2 linked regions of the Coturnix japonica genome follow. The protein of the gene in region 1 interacts with the protein of each later gene in a pairwise test. Links are inferred from orthologs where the notes say so. Each region holds a gene or a part of one and is shown on either strand. Other genes may lie near its edges.

Region 1 (16,644 bases):
AGGGCAGCAGTGGGTGAGGTGTGGCCTGGGACACCTACCTGTAATGACAGCGGGAGTGGCTTGCAAGTATTTGGAATGAGGGCTTTGGCAGCTCAGTGTATGGGAAGAAGCGAGTTTAGGGAAGCTCCAGCTGAAGGCAGCTTTTCTGTTGGCAAAACTGAGTACAAAAAGGGGACAGGAGGTTTGGATGCCTCCAGATGACAACTGGTTTGGACGGACAGCTGTTGGCTGGTTGTAGCGAGCTGATGCATTAATGCTTTACAGCATCTAGCTGGAGGTTTCTTAGGGCAGGGCTGAGAAATTGTAATGCTGATGTGCACGACAGAAAGGAAGATATTACCGTCTAAATCCTCCTTCTTTTACCACCAGAGAACCATATTTTAGAAGATGTAAACAAATGTGTCATTGCTCTCCAAGAAAAAGATGTTGATGGTTTAGACCGCACAGCTGGTGCAATTCGAGGACGTGCTGCTCGAGTCATTCATGTTGTCACCTCTGAAATGGATAATTACGAGCCTGGAGTCTACACTGAGAAGGTGCTGGAAGCGACGAAGCTGCTGTCCAACACAGGTAAGGCAGCACTTCCAGGACCCCGGGTTCGTGTTGGTTCCTAGTGGGTGGGCAAATGGATAGCAGTGTGCCCATGCAATCTATTAAGCACTCCATTTACATACTGTAATGAAAATTAGTGGGAGTTATTTGCAGAGCTGTTGCAAAATGAGAAAAGTAATTTTGCTTTGTTGACTGGCTCAAAACTCAGCAGCACAAAAGGTCTCCCTGGCTGTGCTGGTTGTCAGCCTGAGCTGAGCCAAGTGGAAGTGCCAGGGAACGAGTCCCAGACAGCGAGTCAGGGCCTGTGGGCACACCGGGCATCTTGTAGTGCTGTACCACGATCTGGAAGGGTTTCTGCTGCATTGCCCCAGCAGAGCGAGGGAACATTTCTGTGTACCTTGTAGAAGAAGCACTTGTAGGTCCTGGTCCCCCATCACACCTAGCTGGTAACATCCGTCTAAGGTAAGGAATGGTTCTGGGTGCTTCAGTGAGGGTTTGCCAAGGATTAGTTACTGTGTTTATTTTAATTACAACTGTGATGAAGAATCACGATGGCACTGAGGAGCTGAACAGGCTGTAAATGGCTCCATGATGGTGCTCACTGAGGCACAGAGGCGCACACTGCCCTGCTCAGCGCCTTGTGCAGCTCCAGCCTCGTGGTGGTAACGTCCCCCCACGCTGATGTGTCCTTGTCTAGAAGGAATGTGAAACAAGTGCTTAATGTTGTATCCCACAGACTGCAGCTGCTTCCCCAGGACTTTTCTCCTTGTGCTCTATGAGGGTGTGATAAACTTTTCACTGTGTGGGGAGGAAGGAAACAAGTAGCAGCAGAATAAAGACAAAATGCAGCACAGATAGGACTGAAGCACCAGTATTCGTGTTGATTGGTAACAAACGTTTTGAGTTCAGAAGGAACTGTTGCACACTTCCCAGCAACAGTTAATAACGATGCTCCCACACACACACCTGGGAGGGGATCAGGGTTGGAAATGACGGCTGTTGTGTGCTCTTAATACAGTTATGCCACGCTTTACTGAGCAAGTAGAGGCTGCCGTGGAAGCACTGAGTTCAGACCCTGCTCAGCCAATGGATGAGAATGAATTTATTGATGCTTCGCGACTGGTGTACGATGGAATCAGAGACATCCGGAAAGCCGTATTGATGATCAGAGTGAGTGTCACTTCCCTCAGCTGCTTTCTGCCTCTGCTCACTTTCCCCCAGTTGCTGAGCTAACACACATCAATTTTATTCAGAGCAGACAGCGTAAGATTTTCATTTAGCTCATGTTAACGTTCTCAGTCTTAAAAAGTGCTAATCACTCTGTGGAGTACTTCAGAAGTGCGTGTTGACTCAGATTCATTAAACAGATCTGAGCATCAATGATAGCCTTGAGTAGTGATGCTAAATACCCTTCACGCATCTTTTATAAAATCATGTTAATGCCTCGTTTATTAATGTGCTAAATCAGTGACCTTTGATTTAACAATTGCGAATGAATTCCTACTGTAGATGCTTTTTCATGGTTTAAGAGCCTGAATGTAAAGCTTAATGTCTCTTTCTTAAGTAAATTTTGAGAATTAGTGCTAGTTAGCTGAGAACGGGCTGAGAGGAGCTGGGTCTGTAGTTCTCTCCAGGTTTCTACAGCATGTATTAATTAATTGGCAAACCTCGTTAAAGAGAGACTTGTTCACAGCCCTGAGTGCAGCAGTGAAGGGGCAGAAGAGCTCCTGCTCACAGGTAAACTCATTGTCCTTCAGACCATAACCACTGCAGATGCATCTCGGTACAACGCGCAGCCCCAGAACATACGTGATAACCACTGCAACACTGCCTTCATGTTTGCTGCTTAAAGCAAAGAGTTGGATCGAAAATCAGGAGAAACGCTGACAGCCACATATGTGCTGTCCATATAATTCTCTTGTATTTACGCTTGGGATTTAATAGAGAGCCAATGTTATATGAAGATATCAGCGCTTTGCCGCTCCGCAGACGAGCTAATTGGATTCACCCCCTGCTAGAGTCCTTGTTATTCAGGACATGGGAGCAGGGCTGCCAATTGCACGTCGGCAGTAATTAGCAGAGCTGGCAGTGCCAGGACTGCTGACATTTCCCCCTGTTGCTGATGTCAGGGTGCCAGTCGCTGGCGGCAGCACACTGCTGACACACTGGCGGCCTATAAAAAAAGCCAGGCTGTTGTTATTTGTTGTCCAGAGGGCTGTAAGGTATAGAAGAAAAGAGAAGGTGCCAGAACCCCACTTCTGCAGGCCTTGGGCTCTGGCTGAGTGCGGGCACGGCCTCCCAGCAGTACAAGATGCTGCAGAGCGTGGCTGGGGCAGCACGCTGCCTGACCCTGAGCACTGGAGCTTGGAAACCAGAAGGAAAAGCCGTTTCCTCACCTGACTCTGTGCTTTTGCAGCCTGTTTTCAGAAGTAAAATCTCACTCTGTCTGTAGTTACTGAAACAAAGCTCTGTGCTCCCTGGTCCCAGGCAACCTCCTGTCAGCCCCAGAAGAGTCTTTGCCCCCTGGGCTGTCGGATGGGCAGGAAGGGGAGGGGCTCTGGCATTGTCAGCATCTTCCTAAAGATGTGGCAGATGGGTTTGGGGGGATCTTAACCCTGTTCTTAAAATACTGACACACCGATGTACCACACTGTGTGTCCCTGCTCGGTTCATAAAGGCATGGGCAGGAGCTGGGGCCAGAATACGTCTCAGTTGTCAGCATGCTCAACCACCTCTGCCTTTTTGCTGCTCTTTTGCATAAGTGTTTTTATTTTAAGTGTGTTACGAGATGTCTGCATCAGAATCAGGGAACGAGTTCATGAAATTGAGCATGGGAAAGAAACCTGAAGAGCAAAGACTTGGTTTGCATTTTGCCCATTAATCACAGTTCGTGGCATTTATCAGTGAAGGTCTTTGTTGGTCCAGCTCTGCAGAATTGTCTTCGAGTTCCAGGCTCAGCAGAGCTGCAGTATTTGAACAAATGTGGCTGTTTAAAATGATAAGCTGTATAAAAATGTTGCCAGCCATAGACTGGCAGTAGCAAAAATAAATGGTAGGCAGGCGGGAAGTAGGTCAGCTGGGTTTAGCCGACAGCATAAAAGCTGGCCCTTACGAGCTAAACATTTTAAGCTTCTCCTGGGGGACGAGAATAAATTTCGATACGTTTTGTCTGTTGTTAATTCAGTCGATGCTTTGATTCATAATTGTGCTAAAGAAGACGTCCGTGGTTGTGAACCAGGGCTTAAAGTTGTATGTAATTTTAGCTCCAGGATGTGAGGCGAAGCTTTTACATTTATCAAAGTTGCAAAAGGTGGTGTTCATTTTGGAAAGACTTTCTCTGTATTTCAGCTCCTCTGTGCATTCGTGTCCTCTGACAAATCTCAGATGTTCAGTGACTGCTCAGTAATTTGGGGGATTTCTACCGTGTTTAACGTGAGCGCTCAGCTGTGCTCACCACACGTGTCTGTAAGGCCTGTCACACCTTCCTGTTGAGGACATTGAACAGTTCTTCCCTGGGCTTATTTCCATCCTCACAAACACGGCGTTCTCCTTGATTTTAGAGCCATTCAAACTGCTGTCTGACTCTTGGTGTGCTTCTCTCCCCTCAGACCCCAGAGGAGTTGGATGATTCTGACTTCGAGACGGAAGATTTCGATGTCCGAAGCAGAACAAGCATTCAGACAGAAGATGACCAACTCATTGCTGGACAAAGCGCAAGGGTAAGGAAGAACTCTGTGTTAGCAGAGCGTGTCCTGCCTTCAAGAAGCAGTTCAGCTCATTTTGAAGATCCAGGTTAAATTTTGGTTAGGTCAGAAAGCAGACATTCTCTGTTTCTGGTTTGCTTTTGAGAAGGAGTTCAAGTGAGATGCAGCAGGTGGTGTGATGGATGTCACAAACACCAGCGTTTTGTTGTAGACGTTCTGAAAGATCAGATTGCTTTTTGTACTGATGAGCTGCTGCATCCTTTGGCATCACAGAGAATCACAGAATGGTTGGGTTGGAAGGGACCCCAAGGATCACGAAGCTCCAACCCCCCACCACAGGCAGGGCCACCAACCTCCCCATTTCAGAGCAGCCCAGGCTGCCCAGGGCCCCATCCAACCTGGCCTTCAACACCTCCAGGGATGGACGGGGCATCCACAGCCTCTCTGGGCAGCTGTGCCAGCACCTCACCACTCTCAGAGTAAAGAACTTCCCCCTGATATCCAACCTAAAGCAGATGTTGTAGGCACTGCCATTTAGTCAGGCAAGGAGTGTCTGCAGGAAGATACAGGACAAGTAATTCCATGGTGTGGCTGTGAGTTACAGCAGGCAAATACCAGCTGTGTGGGCATCAAACTTTGCAGCTCAGGCATTTTTTACAGAAGGTTTTCCTATGTATAAGTTTGGGCACTGGGCCTTTAATCAAGACAATGCTGAAAGCAGCTGGAAAATGAAGTAATTTAAACAGAGTGAATTTCCTATGACTGTTTAAAATGAAAGCACTGATATGTAATACATAATCATTAACAGGTGATAACTTAAAATTGGTACACGGAAGGAAAAGCAGGCCTTACCTATTGCCTTTGTTTGACGTGTTCCCTTCTGGGTCGATAACAATTTATCCTCTTGGGAAAATGCCATGAAAGATTTTTCTGAAGGCTCTTTTTGTCCACAACCAGGCAGGAATGGTGGGGCCTTATTTATCAAACTGCCGCATTGCCTTTGGAGCTGTGCTCACTGCTGGTGCTTTTGTGCTCTCTGGGAGGTGAGGCTGCTCCCTCCTCGCCGTGCTGCTGTTCTGTGAGGGATGGTAACATGTGGCAAACATGGCTGGAGTCACACAGTTTTGCTGTGCTTTGGGTGTCAGCTTGTCTGTCTGGGTATTTTTTCTTCTTTAGAGCTGGTAGTAATTCATACAGCATAAACTTCATGTTTGAAATGGAAGGAAATCGCTCTGGAAACCCTCTAGGTAGAGGATTGCTATTAAAGTTTTATCCCCCATCTACGTAACTTAAATTGGCTATCAGTGAAGTGTTCCACAAAGCAAAGCCTTCTGCCTTGTGGCTGGGGGAGGCTCTGTGAGAAAGCTTTCTCTTTCAGGCTATCATGGCACAGCTCCCTCAAGAGCAAAAGGCCAAGATTGCTGAGCAGGTAGCGAGCTTCCAGGAAGAAAAGAGCAAATTGGATGCTGAAGTATCAAAATGGGATGACAGCGGTAACGATATAATTGTTCTGGCCAAACAAATGTGTATGATTATGATGGAAATGACAGACTTCACCAGGTGAGTGTTTGTAATTTGTGCACACAGCACCTCTCAGAGCTGCCTGAGATGGTGCTGGTCCTTTTTAGCAGCCTCACTTCTTGTAACTGTCAATGTTAACCTGTTAAAGCCTGGGATTAACCTGGGAGAGGTCACTGTACAGTGACCGGAGCTGTTTAGATTGGTCTGTAGATAGACACAATTGTTGCCTGATGTTCTTTCTTTCTTAAGGGGGATTTGGGCCCAAAGAGTGTATATATAGACATATATATATATATATGCACATATATATGCAACTACACATAAATATAGCATTCAGTTCTTTACAACATTAAGTTCTATGGGCTTCTTGTTATTGCTGTGCTATAGAAATAGTTCCTCGCACAGTTATTTGCAAAAGAAAGAGTGTTTTTCTGATGGCTTTTGAAATCCATTTACTAGACTTCATACAACACTATTTTTTAAACTTGATGTTGCGTTCCATGCAAATTACAAATCCGCCTTCTAAAATGTTATCTCTCATCATAATTAGTTTGCTTGAAACAGTAAAGTTTAAGATGTTTTTATTCCTACATTTAATCTGAACGTGGGGAGAGGCTGCGGGGGGGATCTGCCTGGGAGGTGCATGAAGAGGCATTAATGGCTGCACCTGTGACCCGCCTGCTTGTGCAGCCTCATTTGTGCTGTGGGGTTTGCTGCCACTGTAATGAGCAATGGGAAGAGCAGCGCCTTGTTCCAGCTCTTGTTTTTCTGAAGGTTTGCTCTGTTCTGCTTTCCAGAGGTAAAGGTCCACTGAAAAACACATCAGATGTGATTAGTGCAGCCAAGAAGATCGCAGAGGCTGGGTCAAGGATGGACAAGCTGGGACGCACTATTGCTGACCACGTAAGTCACCATTTCTTTAATGACCCTCCAGCACAGATGAGCAACAGATGTTTTCATGCTGCAGACACGGTGAATGTGGCAGCCTGTGGTTACTGTGAGGGCTGGGCTGTTCTTCTGCATTTCCAGAGTTGTGTCTTCTCCTGCTCGCTGTTCTCCTGCCATCCCAGCACTGCAGGCAGCTCAGTTTGTCCAGCCATGAAACCTGCAGCTCCTCAGCTTCAACCAGGTACCTGCAGTCTGACAGCCCTGCTCCAGCCCGGTGCCTCAACACAGCAGGGCTGGAACTGTTCCTGTTGTTTTCCTCATGCTGAGGCTGCCAGCACTTTCCAAAGCAGTGACAGGGCTGTGTAGGCAATGCCATAATTACTGCACGTGGCCTGTTTGCACAACCTGTAATATTAGTTTTGAGGCAGCTTTTTAATACTGAATGATTTTCAGATGCCCCGTAGGTGAATGGTGGCCTCACCATTATTCCTTCTGTCCAGCCCAGAGCTGATGGAAGATACGGAGTCAGGAATGCTGGGTGCTCTGCATCATCCCGGGCTGTGGTGCAGGTGCTGTGCTCTGTGTGCTCTGTGAGCTGCAGCATTTGGAATGAATTGTGTAGGACTGAGCTCAGGGTTTATGTGGTGTGTCCCGGGCTGCTGCACAAGCTGGGTTGGAACAAGCAGAAACACCTTTGGTCTGAGTCCACACCCAAACTGCAGACATCATAATGCTCTGCCTTTAGAAGGTGCCCTGCAAGGCAAGTAGGTTAGGTCTGAGATCATGACTGCTCTAAACTGTGTTTCGTGCAGCTGTTGCTTGCTTTTCAGTCTTGCTCTGAACATAATTGATAATACCAGGCTTCTAATGAAGCCGTCTTACTCTGAAATTAAATCTTTGTGATGCAGATCTCTATTAAGCGTTGCATCCAGAGGACTCTGTGCTCACCTCAGTGTGTTTATGGTGCAGTGAGAAGCGTTTGATGAGGAGCAAAAGCAGGAAGGTGTTGTTTAAAATGGGCTCCCAGCCGTAGCGCTGTGCCAGCCCCGATCCTGGGGATCAGGAGCCGCTGCTGCTGAATGCAGGGACATGGAGTGAGGAGCAGTTTGTGTCACAGACCTCGGGGGGGGTTTGGGGCTGAAGTTCCCAACGCTGCTGTTTCTGATTCATGTGTTCGGCACAAACCTGGTGGATGGTTCCTGCACTGAGCAGTGCTGGAAGGGGGGAGGTTAAATGGCTGCTTTTAGTAGACATCAAGTGGGTAAAAATGTAACAGATGAAGCACAGGTCAGGAGATAAATACCAGCAGGAAAGCACAGTTAGTCACTTTGACAGGAATATGGCTTTTTTGTGACTCCACACCCTGCTAACACTTCCACCTTACATATTTCATTAGATAGGCTTACATGCTCTGCAGACATACCTGACAGAGACAGAGGGCTGCGTGCAGCCGCTCCGGTGGAGCACGAATGTCTTCCTGTATCTCACATGGCTGTGAGCGAGCAGAGGGTCCTGGTGTCCCACAGCCCACGTGGCAGTGCTGGATCACAGCCCTGGTGTCAGCGTGTCGGGGCTCCCAGCTTCACAACGCAGCGCCTTCAAACATCCCAGCTGTTATCCCGGGTATTTCATGTCTGCTGAGAGGCATCGAGCCATCAGCCTGCAGATTTCCCCAGGGGTTTTCCTTCCATCCTTCACTCAGAGGAGCCGCCTGCTTGTTTTGAATGGGAGAACGTGAAGGAGTTCCGAGTACAACACAAACGAAAATGATTTGCAGCAATTCTCTGTTATTATTTTTTTTAATGTTGAAATATTTACAGCAGGAAAACCCACCCCGTTGTGCTGCTGCACACAGTGATGGGAGGCTGATGGCTGTACGTGCTGCTGGGACCACACGGGGCTGCCTCATGTCCTAATCAGTGTGGGAACCATGGAACCCTAGAATGGCCTGGGTTGAACAGGACCACAGTGATCATCTCTTTTCAGCCCCCTGCTGCGTGCAGGGTTGTCAACCACCAGCCCAGGCTGCCCAGAGCCACATCCAGCCTTGGATGCTGTCTTTTATCTTGGGTAGTTTCTCTTTGCAGACATCATTGGTTTTTGAACTGAATTCTCCACTCTGCTCATCGAATTAGCACACACAGTGTAGGCTGTGGGTTTCCCAGTCATGTCATATTGATGTCTGCTATTAAATAATATCTCTGATCCCATTTCTTACCTTCCCACTGCTGTTTGGTTGCTTCCTGCCACCACAGGCTCTTCCTAATTCCTACCCGTACAGCACCCCAAGCTGTGCACAACCCCCAGCCACACTGCAGTGTGTGTGTGTCAGCACTCAGCCCCAGCTGAGCTGCTCAGGAGATGGAGAGCATTTCCCAGATGCTAATGGCAGGGTTTCATTAACTCCTTGGCCCACGGTGTTTGTGAGCTCTCCCTAAAACATCTTGCACTGCTGGCTGGTATTGATTCACTTAAGAAAATAACCAGCAGACCTCACCTCTTTGTTATGCAGTTTTCACTTCGCTGATGGAAACCAAGAGAGCTGCAGGTGCCTCGGTGTGTTCTTAGCTTGGCTGGGGGGCACGAAGGCAACTGCTGCCACCCAGACCACAGAATCACAGGGTATCACGGGGTGTCAGTGTGTCACAGGGTATCACAGTGGGGCATTGGAGGGTGTTTGGGTTCCCTACGTGAGCATGTGGGGTGCTGGAAAATGCAAAGCTGAACAAGTTACTTCCATGGACTCCATCCCCACACCAACCCTTGCTGTGTCTCTCCCTGCAGTGCCCCGACTCGGCATGCAAGCAGGACCTGCTGGCCTATCTGCAGCGCATCGCCCTGTACTGCCACCAGCTCAACATCTGCAGCAAAGTGAAGGCTGAAGTGCAGAACCTTGGAGGGGAACTCGTCGTGTCTGGGGTACGTAGGATGACGTTTGGTGCCACACAGCTCTGCTGCTTGATGTGCTCCTCTGTGGGAGGCTGAAGGCATCGTGCTGTCAGAGGAGTGGATGTGTCATTACACAGTAATGTGGACTCCAGGGTTTTACTGCCATTATTCAGCTTCTTCAGAACGTACATCCCCTCCTGCCATAAATTAGTTATGTGAGCAGGCATCTGCCATCTAATCTGCCGCTTTATCTGCTCCCCTGCAATCTGCCCATGGGGCTGAGTGCTGCTGGGTGCTGTTCAGCTCTGTCAGGTTACAGGGGAAGGCCCCGTGTCTGCAAGGGAATTCTGTCTCATTTTAAAGCTCCTGTCAGTAGGAACCACCCTGCAAACAGCTCCAGGCCCGGTGAAGATAACACTGCACTCCTCCCTTTGTAATATAACTTCATGTTCCCGGCTGATTTAAATGTTTATTATCAGCAATTAAGATATTGCTGTGATTTTATTAATTTCATTAGAGAATAAGCTGCTTTTAAAGCTTAGTCCCAAAAGCAAACAGCGGAGCACAGATCCCTTCGGTTGCCATTAGCACAGAGCATTGTGCAGGCAGGGCGCAGTGTCAGCAGGGGAACATCACTGTGTGGATGGGGTCCAGGCTTTGAGCAAAGCCATCAGAGCAGTTGTGGGGTGGGTGCAGTGCAGAGCTCAGGGTGCTGCTGTGGGGCTGCTGGGGTCTGTCACCTCCTGTAACCCCATTCCCTCCCTGCAGGTGGACAGCGCCATGTCCCTCATCCAGGCGGCCAAGAACCTGATGAACGCGGTGGTGCAGACGGTGAAGGCGTCCTACGTGGCGTCCACCAAGTACCAGAAGTCGCAGGGCATGGCCTCGCTCAACCTCCCCGCCGTGTCCTGGAAGATGAAGGCTCCGGAGAAGAAGCCCCTGGTCAAAAGGGAGAAGCAGGACGAGACCCAGACCAAAATCAAGCGGGCGTCCCAGAAGAAGCACGTGAACCCGGTGCAGGCGCTCAGCGAGTTCAAGGCGATGGAGAGCATTTAGAGGTGCCCGTGTCGGTCAGTTTTTCCTTTAGGCCACTACTGCTACTGCCAGAACTCTGCTCTTAACATCCTGAGGATTCTCAGGAGTTTCCTACTCCTCCAAATGTATTTACTTAATATAATTTTGATAACTTTGTTTAGATCATGTGGGGAAATACTCGAATCACGAAACCTATCAGTATAGCTCCAGACTGCGGGAGTGTGTTCCTTTAGATTGCTTTTAGATTCCAGGGGTGTATTTCTAGCTGGAAACTATTTTGTATAATCTCGCTTTAAATGAAATATTCTATAACCAAAGAGGTTTTACACTAACACTAACAGTTAACGCTGATAGCTGAACCGTCCTGCTTGGAGGCGGCCGTTCTGCCTTGTGATCCAGAGGGAAAAATTAAGGCTTTTCACTCAAAAAAAAAAAAAAAAAGGTTTTACAAATAGATTATTGTGTGTATGTGGATCCTGCTGGGAGCCGAGAGCCAGTGAGCTGTGAGTGCCAACAGGAGCTGAGAACACAGCGAGCAGCTCCTGCCATGGAGCTGCATGGCACACGGCTGGGCAGGGCCGGGAGGGGCTGCAGTGCTCCCTGTGCTGCCTCCCATCCCTGTGCCCCCCGTGGCTGCTGGGGTCACTGCTGGCTTCTGTGTGACACCAGAGCGGTAATGCCCGGCTGCAGACGGCGGATGTTGTTGCTGCAGGACACAATAAAGTTGCTTTTCCCACCCTGCGTTGTGCTGTTCGTGCTGTTGGCGCTGTGTGCATTTCCCAGCAGCTCTCGTTAGCTCTGGCTGCAGTGCTGTGCGGTGATGTACCTACAGGCATCGCTTCACCCCTGTTTATTTACACACTCTGGGTGTTGGTGTGTTTTACTCCCACCAACGAGATCCCTCCTTCCCCAGAAGGCTGTGAGTGGTTCGTGGCCAGGGGTTGGTGCAGTGCTGTGACTGTAACTGAGTTTGAGAGCAGCTCCTTGGCAGTGCTTAGCTTATAATTCCATTTACCTCAATCACGGTTTACTGTATCAAGCCCTTTGCTGTCAGGTTACCAGCTGCAGGTCAGGATTAGGAGTTAATGTTGCCCATTTTGCTCCCAAGTGCTGCTGCCTCCAAGGACGGGTGACAATGCCCTGCAGTGTCAGTGCTGGCCCCACAAACACCCAGGGCCTCAATGCTGCACCTTAATGCCACAAACACAAACCACTCCTCTGGATCCCTGTGTGACAGCATCACAAACTGCAGCAAACAGACACTTAGATCCACCCAGGTTTAGTGTGAACACAAACTCATGTTGGGCTGTGAACTCTGGGAGCATCCCCAGCCCTCAGGAGCCAGCAGGGCCCAGGCAGGCAGCATCCAGCACAGGAGCGGCACCGTAACTTTATTAGAGCCAATTGAAAAGAATTACAGTAATTACTGCTTGATGCAATTAAGCTCTGGGGAAGGACTTGTGCGCTTCGTCTCATCCGCAGTGCTGGAGGGAAGGCTGTTCCTCTGGCAGCAGTGTGAGGAGCACACGTGGGGATGTGCTGCCAGCGCTGCCCTGCTCAGGGACACCACAGCTGTTTGTTTGTTGCCTCTGTGGGTGGAGGAGAGCAGCAGGAGCTGCCCTGCACCCAAAGGAGCAGCTCATCCCACGCAGTGCTCAGCATATGTGAGGCACGATGCAGCGCTGTGCTGTGCTGCCTGCTGGGCTCTGGCTGCCCACACTGCCCAGGTAGCTCAGCAGCACCTTCCCCGAGCACCAGAGCGCTCCTTGGTAAGCAATGCCAGGATCAGCTTCCTTTCAGGACAGTGTTCTCCCTCCACTGTGCTCCTCCGGCAGTTGGTGGCAATGCCAATGGCTGTACTGGGCCATGAGCCGCTCACCCTGTGGCTCTGAGCTGTGCACATCTGTGCAGCCACACACCTGGGCACCATGGGACAAACAGACCAGGGGGGAAAGCAGGAAAGGCAAAGCCTGACAGAACTGCAACCCCTGCAGTGAACCCTGCTGAGGGCAGGGACAGCACTGGTGGGCACTGTGTGCTTCCATGGGCACCACTGTCCTCACTGCTGCCCTGAGGTGGCCCCGGCACCCCAGCAGTAGGAGGGCACAATACACAGAGCTACATGCAGCCCTGGAGTTTGGGGACCATGAGGGCCATGGGGCCAGGACACCTCAACCCCATTTAGCACTGCGTGGTGCCCAGCACTGAGACCTACCCCAGCAGTGACAGCCATCAGATGGTGCTTATCCTTAACCCTACAGAACCCCAGCCCCGAGCAGGCAGCTGGGAACGGTGCTGGGGAATAAAACCAAAGCAGGTTTTTAATCCCAGGGAGGCAGCTCCAATAGAAACCCAAGGAATGAGAAAAACAAACACTAAAATCAATACTTGCAATAAGTGCCTCCCTGCAGCGGTGACAGCCGGCCGACCACAGCCACGGGCAGGAACAGCTCAGCACCCACTATGTCCTATGATGGGAGGAGTGGACCCAGGGCTGCAGAGGGCACTGGCAGCAGGTCCTTGTCTGTAGGGCAGCAGCAGCGTGAGCTGGAACTGCTTCATCCCTCTGAGCACAGACCTGTTTCCCAGTGATGCTCATTGTGAAGGACGGAGCCCCCAGCACCTCTGTCCCATAACAAACCCATTGGCACACACAGGAGGGGCTCCCTTAGCTCAGCCATTTATTCCCGGTGCACTGACACAGCCCAGCACACATCACACCATTGTCCCGACCCATCCAAGCTCCATCCTCAGCTCAGCTCAGCTCCCGCACGATGCTGTTCACAGCGCCCAGCAGCTCCTGGAAGTACCCGTCCCCATCGCCATCCCTGCGCTCAGCAGCTGCCAGCTCCTCGTACTCACTGCGCAGCATCCCCAGCGTGGCACTGAGCGCCGTGTCCCCGCGGAACCGCTCCCTGCACAGCTCCATCAGCACCGACACGGCCTTTAGCACCTTCTCGCGTGCATCATGCTCCGGCAGAGCCAGCAGCCCCGGCACAGCCACACACCAGTCCTGCTCCAGCACCGCCGGCACCAGCTGCACCCGCCGGTACTGCTGCACCTTCTCCATGTGGTCGCTGTGCTGAGAGTCCTCCAGCAGCATCTGTGGGGGACAGGGGGCAGGTGATGGCACAGGGAGGTGAAGGAGGATTCAGGCTTCTGTGGAGCCAACAACAGAAACCCAGAGCCAGAGGAGCAGAGGGAGAGCAGTGATAGGCACAGGATGGCCCCATCCCCATGGCCAGCTGGGTACCCAAGGGTGTCTACGGTGCCCTCCCTCAATATCTTTCTACCATCCCCACTCCATCACAGCACTCTGTGCCACTGAACTGCCAGGCATAGAGACAAAGGAGTGATGCCCTATTTCCCATTAGGGCTACTGCTGAACACCCATTTGTACTTTGGCATTCAGGATTTGGGATGAAAAAAAGAGGAGACAAATATCATTCAGACACTGCTTTGCACTTCAGTGCAGAGCCAGCACTCACAGGGGCTGGTGTTACTGTATGATTTTAGAAGCACATTTTCACCCAGGCAGCCCCAAACCTGCTGGCCCAGCCCTGCTCCCCACCAGGTTCCATCGTGTTTTGGTTTTCCCTGCAGGCCCTGGAAGGGGCTGAGCCTGGTGGGCTGCAGGCAGCAACAGCCACGTGTAGGTACAAACATGAGGCTCTGCAGGGCATGAGGAACCTCCAGCAGCCAGAGCAGAGCTGGGGCTGCATGAGGGGCAGCACGAGATGTGGCAGGAGGAGCCAAGCCCACCAACCCTTGTGCTGTAGCAGAGGAACAGGGCAGCACACGTTACAGCCAGAAAGGTCAACGCAGAGGAAGGGCAATACAGGAGTGCAGAAGGAGAGATCAGTGCAAATAGAATGGTGTTACAAAGGAAAAGGTGCTCACCCACCTCTGAACATCCAGGCTTACAGGAAAGACTCCTCAAGGAAGAGATTTCCAACCACAAACCCTCCCCAGTGGCAGTCAGCCCTTCAATGAGGCCTAAAAGAGGAGCAGGCAGCCCCCACCCCTTCCTGCCTCAGAGCTGAACTGCCTTCACCTGTGCTGCCAGGGCTGACCCTTCCCCAGGTGCTCCATCAGTGGCTCAGGCTGGGACTCAGCATTTCCCATACAGGGAGTCAGAGCTCACACCTGATGGGATCTCAGCCATCACAGTAACGTGCACCTTCACATAATCCCATGGAGAACAACTGTTTTAGAGCTCAGCCATTCCTCTGCGGAGCCTGGAATCTGAGCATTAAAGCAGCCATAATCTGCAGGGCAAATTGGCCATAAACAGAGCGAAAGTGGATTTAACTCCCATTCTCTGGAGTAAGAGAGACGCACAAACTAAATAACAAGCGGTGGCGAGGAAAGGCAGCGTTTGAACTGACATTTGCAGCATTAATCCCTGGTACGTGGAAATAAAGCTGCGGGAGCTGCAGGTCCAGCCCAGGAGCTGGGAGGGCTCCATCCCCCCGTCCCGCTGCCCACAGCCCTCACCTTCTCCACAATGAGGTCGTAGAGCAGCGTCACGGCGCGGACACACAGCGCTGAGGTCCCCGGCTGCCTGAAGAGCCCACGCAGCACCTGGAGGCCGCCCAGCTTGAGGAACTGCTGCTGGGCGTAGGGGAAGTGCCTCAGCAGCGAGGAGAGAGCAAAGAGTGCCTGCAGGAGAGCAGGGGGAGCAGGGCTGTAATGCAGCACAGGGGGCACGGGCTGCTCACAAAGCTCCCACACAGCCCGGCCATGAAGAGCATCCCAAACCTCCCCAATCCACCCACCACAACCCGCAGCTGATGCCCACCTGAACTCCCATCACTGCAGGAGTTGGGCACCCACAGTGACACAGCCAGCACCTGCACTGTCCCAGTTCCCTCCTTTTGCCTTTGGCACAGAACCTGGCCATGGGCAGAGATGGACACCAGGGAACATCACCTCTCCTGCCTCATGAGGGCAGAGGACCAGTCCAGGAGCAACATCTCACACTGTGAGTGTGGCAGCAGCACACGTGTGCTCCCTTCTGTGTCCCTAACAGACGGGCTGGCACAGAGGGGTAAACAAGGGTCAACAGCCCCATTCTGATGGCTGCTCCCAGCACAGTGCTGGGTTACACCACCATCGGGCAGAACTATGGGGCCATGGGGGTCTCAGAGAGATCCAGCCCCGTGCCATGGCAAGCCTTGTGCCCTGCTCTGCGGACAGATCCAAGCTGACAGCCATTGCTTCCCCGGCCCCATTTGTTACTATTTTACATCCCTGCAGTTGCCTCCGGTAAATCAGTGATGTTTCCGTCTCCTTTCTTACCATAGGCCAAAGGACCAGGGAGTGAAGGATGCACTTCTGGCCTCGCTGCAGCACAGTGCTGCGAGCATCAGTGCGGAAACCTGCAGGCTCGGGCACAACCCATCATGGGCACCTGGCCTGGGGGCTGGGGGCACTGTGGGCACAGGAACGGGCTGCGGGAATTCAGTTTTTCCTCTTGGAAAAAGGCCTCAGCTCTGCCCCAAAGTGCCACGTGGGTACATGGATGGCACTGAGCTCAGGGTCCATACCCAGCAGGGGCTCAGAAGGGGCTGGTGAGGGTCTGTGCATCCCAGCCAAACTTCCCATCGCACACTGAGCTGCAGGTTGGTCCCTGCAGGCACTGCTCCCACCCAGCAGTGAGGGAGCAGCCAAACAGCTGCAGACTGCTCAGCTCCTCCCAAGGCTTTGCTATGGACCAGAGACGAACACCTTTGTGGAAGCTCCTTGTTAAAACTCATGCAGCACTTCACTGTTTGCCCAATGGCGGGTACATTAAAGACAAACAAAAGAGCTGTGAGTTGCCTCACCCCATCGAGTTCCATCTTGCGGAAGGTCACCATGTTAAAAAGTGGGGCTGGATGTTCAGGAGCCGACAGAAAACGTTATGGCCAACAAACAGTGGTGGCATCAGATGCCAAATGGAGGGTAATTAGATCTCACGCTCCGGGGAGCACGGCGGGGAGGCAGCGAGGGATCCCCGACCCAATGGACAGCGCTGCACATTTGGCTGGGGGCTCTTGGAGCCGCTCAACAC
Region 2 (16,457 bases), on another chromosome or scaffold:
TTTGGGAGATATCTATACCCTCTGTTCCACTACTGCTCTCAAAATGTCCTGAATAATCATTGAGAAAAAATACATATAATATGTACAATGTATTACTCAGTGTTATACTAAAATGAAAGATAGCATGTGTGAGTGTACAAAATATATACAAACTATAGATTAGAGACATGTGGTAAAGCCATCTGGAAAAGATACAGTTGCTCATCTTCCATATTTAGACATGGCCGGCACAAGCATTTAAAAGTAGGAGAAAAGGGAGTTAATACCATGGTGAAAGATGGCCTTTATATAATAAACCAACTTTGTCCTGTTCACATCCATCACTTGTTAAAGACAATTCTTTGAAATGTAAGAGAAGGGATCCTTGCTATTAACTAAAGAAATTAGAAAGAGAAATGTATGAGTTTGAATCTCCGGTTGGGTTTGCTGTGGTAGGACAAGGGGAAATAGCTTCAAATTTAAAGAGGGGAGATTTAGATTTGATATAAGGAAGAACTTTTTTGTTTTTTTTTTTTACAATCATTGGAGACATGGAGATCCAAGGTCAGGCTGGATGGGGCTCTGAGCACCTGATGGAGCTGTAGGTGTCCCTGTTTGTTGCAGGGGAGTTGGGCTGGATGGCCTTGAAGGGTCCCTTCCAACTCAAATAATTCTATCATTCTCTAAAATCTGGAGATTCTGAATGGGTCCCCAATGAAAAAATCCTCCTACTTGTTATCCTCTCAACTGAATGTTTTCCCACCTCCTACCTGCCCTTGCTTTTCATCCATCCTGCTTCTTGTGCCTGATATTTTAGTTTGACATAGCAACCCCACACTAAATTTCAAACTTTTAACTACATGACTACTCCTATCTTCCCATCTTTTCTTCATTGTTTGAGTAGAATTTGTCCCCCATGACACCACATTTTCTAATAGCACAAACCCCTCGGTCACTTCAGAATCACCGAATCAATTGTGACTTGGTTTCACAACATGATCAGATTTCCTAGGGTTTGTTTCTGGGTAAACATTCATTTTATAACAGAGGCAAATTTTGTCTCCCCAAAACACAGGTTGCAGAAATGCTTTAAGACCCACATGCCACAGCAATGACCTCACACAGCCTAAATGGCTGGACTGATAATCTTTCTAGGTCCCTTCCTACCAAGCTATTCCATTTTATTCTGAGTAGCAAGGACCACAGCACGCTGAAAGACTTTATTCTGAAAATCTAGTTTATCACCATGAAAAATTCACACCAACTAACCTTACTCTTCTATTTTGTTAATAAAGACAAATTTTCTTCAAATCCCACTCAAAGAAAGAGCGCTGTAGAACTCTGTTAATGTAACAGAAAGCAAGCCTTCACAACTCACAGCAAAACAAAGGAAGAGTTGGAAGGAGCAAAACATACATCCAAGCTCTTGCACTGCCCTTCACCTATAGCTCTGCCTCATTGCGGACATTTTTGCTCACCTTTTTTCGAATATCTTCATCGTTTGCTCCAAGGGAAGCATACAGCTTGAAAGCAGCCTGGCGCAGCTCATGGGCATGCTTCAAATCATGGTCAAGCTATTTAAATAAATACAGATATCAAATATAGACGCTAAAAATTACGGGTGGTATTTCCTTATTTGCTGTACACTAATAGCTGCTTCCTCGGGTTTTGTCTATCACACGTAGAACAGCCAGAAATACAAACAACCTGCTGTTTCATCAGCTGATGTCCACGCTCATCATCTGAACACAATAATTTAAGGGTATGGTTAATGTCACTGTTGAGTTACAGATAAGCCAACTTAAATAACATCTGCTTACAACATTTTGATGCCAAAACACTTCTCAGATGTTACTGCTCCATTCAGACTATATTAAGGTGAAAAGCAGTCTTATTTACCCAACAGAAACTTATAGGAACAAGCCAGAAGAAGTGGAAAAAATTAGTACAGAATCAAAAGTTTTATCAACAGAACCGAAGCCCATCCCTCAACCACAGGACTTAGAGCTTAAGGCGATTGTTAACTTCCAGTTCCTGTCATAAGGGCAACACATCAAAGTGCTAACTGCCTAGATGTTTGGGGAAGGTAACAACACAGGTTCTAGGCAAGTGAATTAGGGTGATGCATCACGGGACACATGACTCACAAATCAGGAACAACTGTACTGGGTATGATAATCAAGTGGGAACACTTGGCTGTAGGGATAATAGTGGCATCCCAGCTCCTGCAAGGTGTGAGCAAGGCAAGAAGCAGAATACATACAAAGCCTTGACTTTGGGATAGTAGACCTGCATTAGCTGAAAGAGAACACCCTGGTTGTCAGCGAGGAGAAGAGAAGGCTGAGCAGAGACATAAGAGCAGCCTTCACCTCAAGAAGACTACAAAGAACATGAAGGTGGACTCTCTATGGAGGTGCAAAGAAAGAGGAGACAATAATCAGATTGGAACAGGTGAGGTTCTAACTCATATTCACCTGGGGAACACTGGAACTGAATGCACTGAGAAGCTGTTTAATCACCATTGTTAGCAGTTCTCAATAGCCAACTAGACAATCCCTTCATGTCCTTACCAAGCAGAGTTGCTCTATGATTGACACCCTTGCAAACTCCAACCCAAAGGGTTCCACATAACAGAGCAACATTTTAAGCCTACTCAAAATGCCAGAAAAATGCCAGTATTAAGCGACAAGTTATTGGTATGAAAGAACTGTCCAAAATTAAGCTGTACGAACAATTTCCCCTGGTACAGATACACCATTAGAGCAGAATGTATTATGTCTATTTTTAATATTTTAACAACAATAAGTAATCTGTTCAGTAAAGTCCACACTCATCCTGTTTTTACCTTCTAGGGAGTAATTCAAAGAGTTTTTTTCCTTCTCCTCCAAACAAGCACCCTGCCATTCCAGGTGACTATTTTTAGAGACTTTCTGAACACTTAAAGCCATGTCATAATACCTATAATCACTCCTGTTCAGAACCTTTGCCATGTTTTTGATGCTACCACCAACACTCACTGCTTCCCAGTCAAATGCTCATTTTCCTTCTGCTTATTATCTAAAGTGCAACCAACAGTTTTTTTAATATTTAATTTGCATTTTTACATCTACTTAAAAGCAACTGTACGTGCAGAATCAATTCAATCCCTTGAAAGCCTGAGAGGTGTGTCCACCCCTGGGGACAGTCTCAAAGAAAAACAAAGGCTCTGTAATCCACTTCTTTGGGGTACTTTCTTTAAACTGAATGAGAGAAAAAGGGAATTGACAAACGATACTTCCCTACAAGGAATATCAAGAACAATCCTGTTTCCAAGACTGACTGATCTACTAGTGCTTTGGTAAGTGTATATACAGCTGGGAATAGAACAGCTCCTAAAACACCTATGATAATAAGCCTCCAAGGTATACTGGATCATTGTTTATCCAACCTCTTGCAAGTGCAGATAACATCTGGGAGATAACGTGAAATGATATACAGGGCATCCAGGTTTTTCTGCGTAACAGAAAAGAACCATCTCTGAACTTAACATTTTCCACAACTTCACCTATGAATTCACACCATCCACATCACATGGACTATTATCTCTTATGAAGACGAAATGCAGCGGCTCCTGAAGCTGTAAACTTGTAAACTCAGCACATGAGCAACATGACAGATGCCCTTGTCCAGTATTTCACTACTACATTGGGAAATGTCATGAAAATCCTATGAAGAAGCTGCATTAAACTATCCAGAAACCATCTTCCTGTGTTCCACAAAGAACAGCAAAATCCTTCTTACAAGATGTAGAGCCCAAATATACACAAAGTTCTTTGTTTGGATATTACAGGCTCCAGAATGAACAAAGACTTGAGGCCTAGTTGCATTAGGGTCATGGCCTAGCCTAGGTCTGGCAACCTTTCCATTGAAGAACTTGGATATAAGGCTGAGCTAAACAGAATAAAGAAACACCTTGAGCCCATTTCTTACTGTTTTTCAAAGATTCAGCAGAAGAACCTACCCTTTTGATATCAGTGATTGCACTCACTGAGCTGGGATACTTGAAGTAATCGGCAAGCATGACAATGAGGTGGTCAGTAATGCTGGCAATTCTCTGAAGTTCCACGTCTGTTTCAATCAAATAGGCCAGAGTTTCTGCTCCTTCTACTCGTTCCTCCAGCAGTCTCTCCTTGCTACACATTCGAACCAAACATGGCAGAGTCTGATGAGTTTAAAAAGAATAAAAACAAAATACTGTTTGGAACAGCTAGGTTCATAAAGAAACTCGAACAGCTATTTTAAAGCAATTCTCAGTAATGTTATTTGAACAGGTACCTTCAGACAAAAAGTATTTTAAAGACTACAGAGAAATTGTTCAGGCAATACTGAGTATACATTAGGCTACTTTCAACCAAGTTCTCATGCAGTGAAAAAGAGTTTAGATCAGATGTCACTACTGACACTGATGATACTGGAATGAACTGCATTTTGGATATCCGCTTAAAAAGATGGGAGAGATAGAAATTTGACTCTGCCAACATGAGGACTTTCACCTGTAATTACCTTGAATGGCAGATACGAAATTCCCCCTAGCAAACAGTGTAAATGTACCATACTCAACTGCGATTAACACTGAAACGTGTTTTCTTAGTGCAGCATCTTATAAAGAAACTGCCCTTTCCCCTGCATTACCAGAACACTGGACATAGGGACAGTTCCTGACGCGCTGCAGACAACTCTCCCAACCCTAACCAAGTTATGAAGCACTGATGTTCAGACAAACTTACAAAACTACTGTGAAATTTGAGGAACAGCCTGATTTTGACAGGCTCCTTTTATACACTGTGCAAGCATTTTGACTATTGTCTTCTGTCTTGACTACAGTCTTCTGAAACTTGCTTCTGAAACAGATAACAGCGCCTTGTTCGCATGCAGAGATCAAGGTAGGGATGTGGTTTCCATGTTACTTACAAACAGTTACTTACATCATTACAAACCTTAAACTGCTGTGTGTCAAACTTTGGAATATTTATTGCTGGATATCAACATTTTGGTATCTAAAAGTTCTTACAAGAGCTACACTGCTATAAGTGTTTTAAGGCAATTAGGGAACAACTGTTTGTTTAATTACTATCATTAGAACTTGGTGCTTTGAGATCACCTATTTAACAGGCTTTGCACTACTTTTTATACTAGACAAATAAAAACAGGAGTAGATCCTTATAGAAATGCTGTTTTAAACAGAATTGTCTAACTAGCTCACCTTAAGAACGATGCAAGAGTCATCTGTCCGTATTGCTCCAGCTCTGCACATGGAAGTAAGGCTGTGACAACACAATAAAACATAAATTCACTTATCCTTGGTTTTTAGCACTTAAAACACTGCAGAACAACCCGCTGTACTAATGAAATGTGCTCCCCTTTTGATTGATTTTCATACATTTGAGCTAACTGTAGGCACATGACCAAATTACAACACACACACTTGCAAGGAGATTTATAGCACAGAACATCTTGCTGGAGCACTGACCAACACGGACACCACACAGGTCAAAAAAAGGACTAACCAAGAAGCTCGACTGATGTACAAATCTCTTACAATAACAAAACAAAGTTAACTATGTTCACTAGGATAAAACAGCAATACGCACAGATCTGTCCTATACTGCCCACAGCACAGGAAAGGACTAATAAGGAGAGGGTCAACGGAGGGCTGACAGTTTAAGTCATAGAATCACCAAGGTTGGGAAAGACCTCCAAGATCAAGTCCAACCATCCACCTATCACCAATACTTCCCACTAAACCACGTCCCTCAGCACGACATTCAAACATTTCTCCACCCTGGCAGCCCATTCCAGTGCCTTATCACTCTCTCATAGAAGCAGTATTTCCTAATGTCCAACCACCTGAATCTCCCTGGTGCAACTTGAGGTCATTCCCTCTAGTCCTATCACTAGTTCCATTAGATCTCAACTTTCCCTTTTGATATGGGCAGATTCCTGTATGTTCATGTACCTAATGACCAGATGGCTCTGTAGGGCCTTCCTAAGCAGATCAACACTTCCTGCCAGCTTGGTGTCATCTGCAGAAATATTTGAGCTTGGCATTAATTTAGGAGACTCAGTACAGGAGTAGTCAAGTACCTTGTTTTAGCTTTCAAACTAAGCCATTGTAACTAGCTTTTATTGTGTCGCAAGTGGGAGGTTAAAAAAACCAACCACCAACTGCCATTTAAAGAAGGTGACTTAAAACTACCATTTCAATTCTTGGTTGGACTGGTTGAAACCATATATAAGGCCAATCACAATTGCCCATAATAATATGCCAACCTTAATAGCACCATGTTTCACTGCATTCCTATGATTTTTAAAAGAACCCAGAGTTCCCACATCTTTAATAACATCATTTAACCTGTTCCAAGTGTCTACCAATGAAAGACGTGAATAAAAATGCACTGATTATGAGATTTTAGCTATTATGACTCAGAAGTTAAACAGATACAACTCGGCAGCACAGAGATTATTTTCTAAACTTTTCTGTTCAAACTTTGTATCTTACAGCTGGAAATACTGATTTCCACGTCTGAACAATCAGGAGGAGAACACCAGTCTTGCAGCTGCCATTAATTCCTGTTACGATACTGTTTGCAGGACAAACTGACTCAACTTCGAACACAAAGTAAGTTAAAGTACTTCAGATAAATAGGCTTGGCTTAGATGGCAGCAATTACACTAATTTCAGTAGAAAAGGTGCTCTTCTCTAAACTGTTCTGCTTATAGGTGCAAATCACTCCCCCAAGAGGCCGACTTATTGCTCCCTCTTTGCCAAAATCACCGTTCAAATGAAGGATCCTTATTCCATTTCAATCAAGAGGTATTAAGTCAGATCTTCCAGGTCTACTTGAACAGTTGAAAAGCAAAGGAAGCTTCCTCAGATATCCCTGTATACCAGTATGTAGATTAAAACCAGCTTAGCAGAAGGCTTCAGAAATTCACCAAAATAACTCTACTTCTGTATTCTAAGGACTCTACCAATAAACCAGAGAGGAATCCCACGTTAATCAACAAAAGCTGGCACATCAAAAGTGAAGTCTTAATTTTTTATCAGAAAAGCAGTTACAATTTCACCTACTACTCCAGCCTAGAAGGAGTAGGAGTGAAGAGAGATACAGACTTACTTTAAGGGATACAAGCAGGGAACAGATTTAGAGAAGAAAAGCCAGTAGATTTTTGAAGTCCTTACACTGTCATGAAACTGATACCTTCAGTGCCCTAGGAAAGAGGGCTGCCCACAGGCTAATTAGGAGCCCACTCTTGAAGCACAAGACACTGGTTTGTTCCCCTCATTCTTGTAGGGTTTTTTTTGCTTTTCATTGCACATTTTTTCTTCTGTGCTTTCAAAAGTCCATTTGAGCCAAAAATGAGAGAATCTCCAGCCAAATCCCTCCAAATCAAAGCAGATTAGTAAAGAATACCAACATATCTGAGAGCGTTTATCCTAGAACAAGAAGAAACCAAAGCCAGAATAGATTTCTAACTGCAATTTGCCTTCATAACTAACCGATGCTCTTGTATCTTAAGTTAAAAAAAATAACCTGTTCTCATGAACTCGGTTTTTTAACCCTAATTCTCTGTTTTCTCTGAACTGCCAAAGAAACACAAATCGATCACAACAGACTTCTTCAAGACAGTTGATTTACCTTGCCTCCCCTTCAGTACCTGAAGAAAACCTGATTTGCTAGAGGGGAATGCAGGAGGCCCCCAGTCCAGCCTCCCACCACACAGTGGGATTACCTTCCTAAAACAATCCTCCCCAAACGTACACTTATTTATAATTGCTTTCATGAATGGGTTAAGTTGCCACAACCTGGCAACGTGACAAAAGAGACCATCCTCCTACTCCCCCCATCCTTATTCCTCAGCCAGAAACTCAAGCCTTTGCTCTGACAAGTGTCAGTGAAATTATTTTGGTGAATAGAATGAGAGAACTCATTGCTGTAAGCCAAAGATAAGCCACTAAAATCTGGACTAGCTGTAAATGGAAAGAATTAAAGGAGACCAAATCAAATAATCAATGACCAAACACTCAAATCATGTTAGATTTTAGTAGTTCATAGTGACATATCTCTTCAAACACCTGAAGTCATTTATTTACTCCATCTCATCAATATAAGAGAAGAAAAAGGGTCTTAAGCAGAGTTAGCTCCCAGCTTATCGAGTGTGAAACCCTAGTGTTAATGTTACAGAATTCAGTCACATTTTGTCACAAGGTACAAAGTCATTAGGTACATGAACATACAGGAATCTGCCCATATCAAAAGGGAAAGTTGAGAGATGAACTTTAAAATAAATTAGTAACTAATTCTGTTGCATGAACATATGAAGTTTAAAAAACAATCTATGCTTAATTAAACCATTTGAGAGAGTGTCTTGCTCTCTTCTTATTTTAGGAGAGGGCTTACTGTTCTCAATACACCACAGCCACAGTCTCCAAAGCAAACTCTCAGGACAGTGGTGTAACAAGCACATTATCTGGTAGTACACAATTACATTTCGGTATTATACTTTGTAAGGACAAACTACTGACTATAACCTATTTAACATAAAACTTATAATCAAATTCAAGCTACTTGAGAAAACTGCAGTTCAACTGAAGAAAACAGAGGTGGTTTTTTTCTTGTTTATGCTCAAGAAAAAATAAGATGACTAGGTGATAACAATATTTCAAGTATCTAGGTAATACAAATAACATCTTTCATTATTCCTACCTAAAGTTTTAGTTCCCTCGCATGCAGCGAGGATAAAACCAAAAGTTAAGAAGTACTAGATTGCACACTATTGCATTCCAATTCCCGATGAAAATTACCATTTGGCTGATGTGAGCTGCATTTCAATAGGCTTGTCCCTTTGTAACATCTTCACAAAGATTTGTGGTAACAGTTCTCCGTCAACCGACACTGTAAGTAATGGAAGAGAACTCAAAGTGATACTAATTCAATCAGTCAATAAAGTAAGTGTCAAACAAGCAGCGGTTGCATTATACTTACCATTTACCAGAGTCATTGATACCTGTGGGTTTTCAAAGGCTAGAACGGAGAAGCATTTCAAGGCTTGCATTCGAACCTGTTTAAAAAAAAACAATAAATAAAGCATAGATGTAAATGCTAACTTAAAAGTAAAACAGGACTGTATTGATGTACAAAGCAGCAGAAATAATTCTGCATCACCAGTAAGAAATTTAGATGGATAAAAAGCAGATAAAACATCTAATTCACAGTTTAACTCCTGTGATCTCCCTGCTTGGAATTACCATTCCAGACTTGACATTGTAGACTGTTTTCAAAGACACAAGCAAGGACTGGCATGTGGGAAGCAGACATTCAGAAACACTAGTTTCATTTGTGGTTTCACACAAACATGTAAACAGCAAAAAAAAAAACCCAGATATATCATAAATCCAGTACTTCCTCTTTCGAGGATTCATGAGTACCCTGAGGGAATTAGAAACACATGTCACTGTATCAGTAGTTTTTAAAGGTGAATTTAATAATATTTCTGAAGAGATTATCCAGTCAAATTGATTTTAAACTAATCTTAAAACAATAATATACTGTAAGTTTCATTGCTATTGCATAACATCAGTTATCACTCGTGCACTAATGATTCACAGCTCTCTATGCTGGATCACTGAATTGTTTTGGTTGGTTGGAAGAGACCTCTGGATATCTTCTGGTTCAACTTCATCTATCAACTAGGGCAGCTGGCTTCTGAATATTTCCAAGGAAGGAGACCCTACAACCTCCTTGGGTAGCCTCAAATCTGAAACTAAGTTTTGGTTCATCAAGCCTTCATAACTGCCTACTAAAGATGACTTCCTTCTGACCTCTTTTTTGAGGCAAGGAAGATCATCACCATCATCCCAGATAATGAATCTAATTTAGTTCACAGTCTTTTGACTTCAATTGCTACAGTTCTATATATGTTGTAGTAGTCGTTAATGAGGAATCTATATATGTAAATTTTGCTGATGTCTTTCTATGCTTTTGTTACAACTTCCTTAGTGTGACCATAACACTAAGAAGCAAGATTTCAACCTAAAAATCCCTGTCGCTGAAGAAAGCATTTGTGACTGTTGCATTTTAGGTTTAGGTTCATCTTCCCCAAGAATTCTGAAGGCAGACAATAACAGCAAAGACTACCAAGCATTCATACTGTATCTCACTACAGTCAAGGTAAGACAATCAATAGCAGTGAAGTCAGGAGTAACAAATAGCAGAAATGGATACATGGCTTCAAAACAAAAGCCTTATTTGGCAACACTTCTGTTTACTGAACAGATGATTTCATGAATACAAGGTATGCACCAACGCAACAGGAAGCAGAGACTTCTCAGTGCTTCAAAAAGCACTGAGAACAGTCAAACCCAGAGTTGGATGAGAACTAAGTGGCTTGAATTCCTGAAGAGCATCAGTTACATTGAAAAAAGCAACTGAGAAATCTTATCCAGCTCCTATTTCTTTATTTAAAAAAAAATAGGAATGGTTCAAAGTGGTGCACAACTTGGAACATTCACCTTACAACACAGAATGAAAGACTTCAGTTGATGAAAACGTAATACAGAAAGACAGAAAACACACCTGTCAGTCCCAGTAACAAAATACTGAGAATACCGTACTTCAAACAGGATTTATAAAATGAAACAGCATGGCATTTTCTGATAGCCCAGGATGGACTCTTGAAAGCATAAAAAGGGATGGAGCCTGTGAGACTCAATGAGCACAAAATATTGGTAGCTGGTAACCCTCACAGATTCCAAGCTCATGTTTTTACAAGTGTATCTTCTCTTTAGGACAGCTCATTTTGCTTAATTGCATTTCTGCTTAATTGCTCTTTCTCCTTAAATGTTCAGCAAATTACACCAGCCTTATTTTGATTTCTTTTCCTTATGCTTGCCAAGTGACCGTCCTTCTGATCAACGAATCCCAGATCTGCCTGAAGTAAAGACGTCCTAAGAGCATTCCAAAATAACAGGCCTCATTTTGACAGAAACCCACACAACAGGTAAAAGTGATTCTATAAATAGACATTCCACACGTTAACAGTTCTAGGTCATACATGTATACATAGCTTTTATCATGATCGTAGAGATCCCTTTCATAAAACACTGAATAATTTTCATGTCTTACTTTGTAGGAGGTGGAGACTAACAGATGTGCGATATTCTGAACAGCTCCGTGGTTAAACAAGATTGTCTGGTGGTCTGGACCCTACAAAGGAAAATATAAAATGCGATTTATTCATTTATTTATAAGGAACATGTGAAAGATTACTATTACCTCAACTATTATTATTTTACTATTCAAAGGTAGATTCACCAGCATGTGTTTCGTAATCAGTTGGTATATCAACTTATCTTTTCAAGAAAGAAGCCCAATTTTTTTAACTCTCAACAGTCTCCTGGGAGACTTGCAAACTCCTCCTTAGAAGTAGAGTCGTGACTCTAGCCACCTCTACATTAAACACGGGCACAACTGGAATCCACCTTTTGGGATGTCACACCATTAATCATACCCTGATACATTTTCTTGACTACTCTGCAAATGCAGAAAGTATCTTCACTCAATTTCTTGCTCAAACCCGGCTGGGTTTATGGGCATATGTACACACCCTAGTAAGCATAAGTGACACTTCATTTCCACATTTGAGATTCAGCTGAAATCAGATTCTCTTTGTATTCAAAAGAACATTTTTGGAACATCCCTCACTCTAAGAAAAAGAGCATGAGAATTACATATCTGGTGCTTTAAGAGATGCTTCAGCTGCTACTGCCACCAAGAGCTTTCTATTAAAAAAAACACAATCAAAATAGCATGGTTGAAGTAGGAAAACAACTTACATTGGCACACAGAAGTGGCTGAGGCAATGACTTAAAGCCGCAGCTATGCCAGTGTTGAAGCTGAAGAACAGATATTGAAATATGTGAAAAATATGAATGAACTCAGAAGTTAAAAAAAAAATCATATTGACCTAGATTGTTCTAGTAATCCATAGGCATTAGTGACTTTTTCAATGAGATGCAGATGTCAAACTCTGTATTCATAGCTGCAGAAGCTGACGTACAGATTGGATGCTTTCACATACACATTGTGTATGCACACACCAATTCTGCTTGTTCAATGCACACGCAGGCTGAGTTCTAACTGTGATGCAGACAGCTTCAAATACACAGGTGATATCTTCAGATTACAGTGTATCCATCCTTCCTTTCTAATTCCAAGCATCTCAGACACCAGCTTAATAGCAGGGCCTTTTGGCTTTGTTTTTCTCTGGGCATCCTATCAGAGTTGCAGGAGCCAATTCTATTTCAAGGATCCGAAACCCCCTTTCAGCATATTTGGAACTAGATGATCTTTAAGGTCCCTTCCAACCATTCTATTCTACGGTCTTCTTTTCCCCAGATGTGATTGAGTGATGAAATATTTCGGAGACAAATCACATTCCTTGCATTATTTTCTATCAAAACTCTGATTTTCATGAAAGCAGTAGGATAGAAGAGTCTAACAATTCATTCCATAACAAAATTTTAGATGCAGATATGGAAGTGCAAATGTATCTTGGTTCAGGCCTAGGATCACATAAGAAATCATTCTCAGAATAAGCTTAGGAGGAAACTGCCCTGATTACAGGCTTTAACCTGCATCTCTCCTAGATGAGTTTAATTTTCAACCACTGGTGAACTTATACAGAGATATCACCACATTCAAAATAATTTTCCAACACTATCTTTTCAAACTGTTTATACAACTGCTTGTTTCCAAATGCATAGCACATCCTTCTAATTTGATGTTTAAAACAGTAAAGCTGACCTACTCACGTTACTTTCTCTGGAAATAAATCAACTGTGATAGAGAGGACCTTTAAAAGTTTTGACTTGCATTTTAGCATGCCTTGAACACAATCCAGTTTCAGTTTGCTTGGTTTTGATTACATGTTGATAGAGTCATAGCTATGTATGCTGAAATCTGTACCATTTCCCCCTGTAAACCAACACTGTCCTTAAGATGGCTCTTCTCCAGAGTCAACATATTCCACTGCTCAATTTTAACTCCAAAAATGCAGTGAAAAGCAATAAAAGCATGAACTTGAAGCAGACAACAACAGCAATATGCTAGGAACCTGAATTAAGGATTTCCTAGCTAAGGAAAACAGGTCTAAGCTGCAATTCGAGCAGGTAAGAAAGAAGGAACCCCAAAAGCTTGACCAAACAAAACTCTCTGACCAGGAAGAGACAGAATGGAGAACAAGATCTAAGCAGAGAAGAGTATGTAGAAACAAGGAGGACAGACAGGAGCTGTGATATGCCATCATTTTGTGTGTATTTATTAATACGAAGAAAAAAATACAAACATTGATACATACACTAATATGTTAAGGCTTATCTGAATTACAAGCCTCGTACTAACTTATTTATCCAGGGAAAAATTATATAGGGTTCTCAGTCATGATTTTTTTTAGCATAGGAGATGAAAACTTCATTTTAAAATGTTCTTTCAGAAGTATTCGATACTTTTTAATAAGAATGTACTTTCCACATACATCAGAAAATCCCTGCAAGTTCTGCTTGCCTGCACTAGAAATATTTTATCACTCCAGAATACAACAACTGATTTTACGTCTTATTTCCCAGATAGGAAATCCAAGAAATAATCAAAGTAAGGAAGAAAGGGGCATTAGCCAGAACAAGAAATGAGCTTAATTACAAATATTTTTCTTTGCTCTGCAGCAAGGTATTTATTCTACAGATATAGGCCCCATCCTTCATACCCATCACTCTGCTTTTAATGCGCATTCAGGTTTCTGCCTGTTTCCAATGTCACCTTTTCATTCCAAAACCTTGGGATTTTTCAAAACATTCACTCCAAGTTTTGTTTGAGCTGGAGCAGGATTTGTTGTTTGGAGTGGTGCTGAAAACAGGTGACTTCATAAGACCTTGCTTATTCTCCTCTTATTATGTGACTGGGCTACTGTTTTATTAACTATACATTTGAGAGGCAAGTCAGCAGGAGTTCACAGAGTTAAAAGGAAGCTGCTCACATAGGAGAAGATGACAAGTGTGTTCAAGCTGGGTTAGTTAACTGACATTACTCAGCAGTTTGCACTCAGCCAGCCAGCAAGGCTTCTGCCACTGAGCTAAGTTCCACCTGGATCAACAGACTTCTGCATCCATATACTGTCAGTCCTGTGTTATTTCCCTTATGTGCCAACATGGCCTGATCTTTCAGTCATTACTCTCTATTACAGGCACTGTCAAGGCCTATTTAAACTTGAGGTGCCCGTGTTTGTCATTAGACAGGTACAACTTACTTGTTCCCATCAGGTCAAGACGGAAACAATCAAAACACCTTGTGTGACAACCTTCCCACAGCAGAAAGGAATGGCACCGGTGCATCTTACTTAAAATACCAAATTTATTTTCTAATATTAACTACAGATCGAGCTTATATAGTCCAGCATAGGATAGCCCAGCTTATATAGTGCAGCTTGCTTTCAACAATACTCTACATATTAGCAGCTGAGTTCAATTTTTAAATTGCTTTACAGTCTTCAGTTTCATGTAACAGAAGAAACTGAATTGGATGAACACACATGCCAAGGCAAAGACAAACAAAGAAATAATTTACAGCCCCAGAAGACTCATTTTTCAATTATGAGACATATTTTTGGAGGTAAATACTTAGCAATTCAAGAAATTTGAACACTGTTACTTGCCAGTCCAGCAGATAAATACAGTCTATCTGTCTTTAGTCATAAAATGTAGCTATAAAGGACAGATGCTAAACAATTTTGGTTTTCCACACTGAACTGAATCAGTTACTTTATACCCACCAGGTACAATAACTACCAAAAGAAACGTTTTTCATAAAAGTTGTGTGAGAGAAACTAAGGGATATAGGGAGAGATGCAGACAAGGAGTGCCTTAGGACTAGAAGACAGCAACATGAGAACAAGAATGTATCTGAGGTAGAGTTGTTGGTAAATTATAATCCCTATATTAGGGAAATTGCATTACACAGCAGGAACAAACATTTATCAGGATAAACCTGTAACTGGTACAGCTCAACTGGGAATAGCATTCTTCCCCTCAACCTACAGTACTTCTTGTAAACCCTTCTCTTGGTTTAAAACAGCCGGTGTGGTAGGAGATGAAAGCCCTTTGCAAAGAGAAGTTCACATGTTTTTTGAGATTTCCAGAGAAATAAAAACAAAACCTTCCTATACTGTTATCCCATGCTAACTACTGTTAGTAGTGATGACTGATATTTGCCTCGACTGCTGATGTAGTTTAGTAGCCAAAGATATTAACACCTCAAAAATCAGTTATTTCCATACTTGGCTTTACTGCAGAGAACCATCTATTACACCCAGTGTGATAGCAAATCTAGGACAACAGGAGTTCAGCCATTACTGTTCTAATATGCCTGCTGAAAGAGGTGGTATCTTACACAGATTCTTATGTGCCAGAAACACAACAAGTCTCACAGAGAACATGTATTCTCCTCCTTACTTTGCAGCAGTGTGAGAAGATCTGACATATGTATTCTTGCGTATATCGAGACCTACTGAGCAGCGCCATGAGGTGTGAGATAACTGTAGCATCCTGAAAGCAAGTCAGAAAAAAAAAAAATAAGGCATTAAGACCATTTCACTATAGTTTGTTAATAACTTGTTACTTAGAAGGGTACTCAATTCTGCATTCTATATTCCCTATTAAGTATTTCACTCACTGGAACTTGCACACAAGACAAGACCATTGAAGTAGTACAGAAGATACATAAGACATCCTCAGAAATTCATGTTAGATATAAAACCTGTTTATGCCTCCAGAATCTTTACTTCATGAGCAAACAATGAATAAATAGAAGGGGAAAAAGGAAAAAACCCTACACTGCCTGCAAATCTGTAATTCTGTGACACCCACTGACTGATTAGTACAGGGCAATGAATTAATAATTCCCCTTGGTTTAGGCACTGTTATAGCAATGCCAGAGAATTCCAAATACATCACAGCAAAATAAAATCACTAAACTTGAAGTTGTCTCATGAAAACACATCTATCTACTTTTTAAGCTCTCTGGTAAATTACCAAATGATGATATTTGAAAGCTCTCTGTTAGTTTTACCAGTACCTCTCAAGTCAGATGATGACATTAAAAGCAATACCAACCATTTTAGTTTGGAAGGGTAGAAAACTGAATTAACTCTGTGAGATAAAGGGTGCCTAACAAAGGAGATGAAAGAACTGAACAATTCTTCTTGGCCAAAGAACTTACAGTATAAGTTGACCATACACAACTAAGTGAGACAGTTCTACCTGCAGGAGAGCAACTGATTAATTGCAACACTCTTTGTGGGGAAGAAATGGGTTAAAGTTAGAGCACATTCTTCATGCTCATTAGCTACTTTTATAGTGATGAAAGTAACAACAACCCAAATGCTAT

What was found.
Region 2: the proteins of CTNNA1 (region 1) and ARMC8 interact in a two-hybrid assay, tested with the Homo sapiens proteins (2 studies listed by BioGRID and IntAct). The link is inferred for Coturnix japonica from reciprocal best matches to the Homo sapiens genes CTNNA1 and ARMC8.

The regions. Positions count from the first base shown.
Region 1 is NC_029528.1:14,127,133-14,143,776, forward strand, and holds the end of CTNNA1 (catenin alpha-1), read left to right. Parts: intron 1-369; coding exon 370-570; intron 571-1,570; coding exon 1,571-1,722; intron 1,723-4,160; coding exon 4,161-4,271; intron 4,272-5,634; coding exon 5,635-5,816; intron 5,817-6,574; coding exon 6,575-6,680; intron 6,681-9,449; coding exon 9,450-9,584; intron 9,585-10,322; coding exon 10,323-10,610; 3' UTR 10,611-11,326; downstream 11,327-16,644. Other genes in the region: nucleotide exchange factor SIL1, read right to left, coding at 13,345-13,692, 15,087-15,251. UniProt on the Homo sapiens protein: Associates with the cytoplasmic domain of a variety of cadherins. The association of catenins to cadherins produces a complex which is linked to the actin filament network, and which seems to be of primary importance for cadherins cell-adhesion properties.
Region 2 is NC_029524.1:2,433,953-2,450,409, reverse strand, and holds part of ARMC8 (armadillo repeat-containing protein 8), read right to left. Parts: intron 15,617-16,457; coding exon 15,524-15,616; intron 11,915-15,523; coding exon 11,855-11,914; intron 11,226-11,854; coding exon 11,145-11,225; intron 9,082-11,144; coding exon 9,006-9,081; intron 8,916-9,005; coding exon 8,825-8,915; intron 5,283-8,824; coding exon 5,222-5,282; intron 4,181-5,221; coding exon 3,980-4,180; intron 1,554-3,979; coding exon 1,458-1,553; intron 1-1,457. UniProt on the Homo sapiens protein: Component of the CTLH E3 ubiquitin-protein ligase complex that selectively accepts ubiquitin from UBE2H and mediates ubiquitination and subsequent proteasomal degradation of the transcription factor HBP1.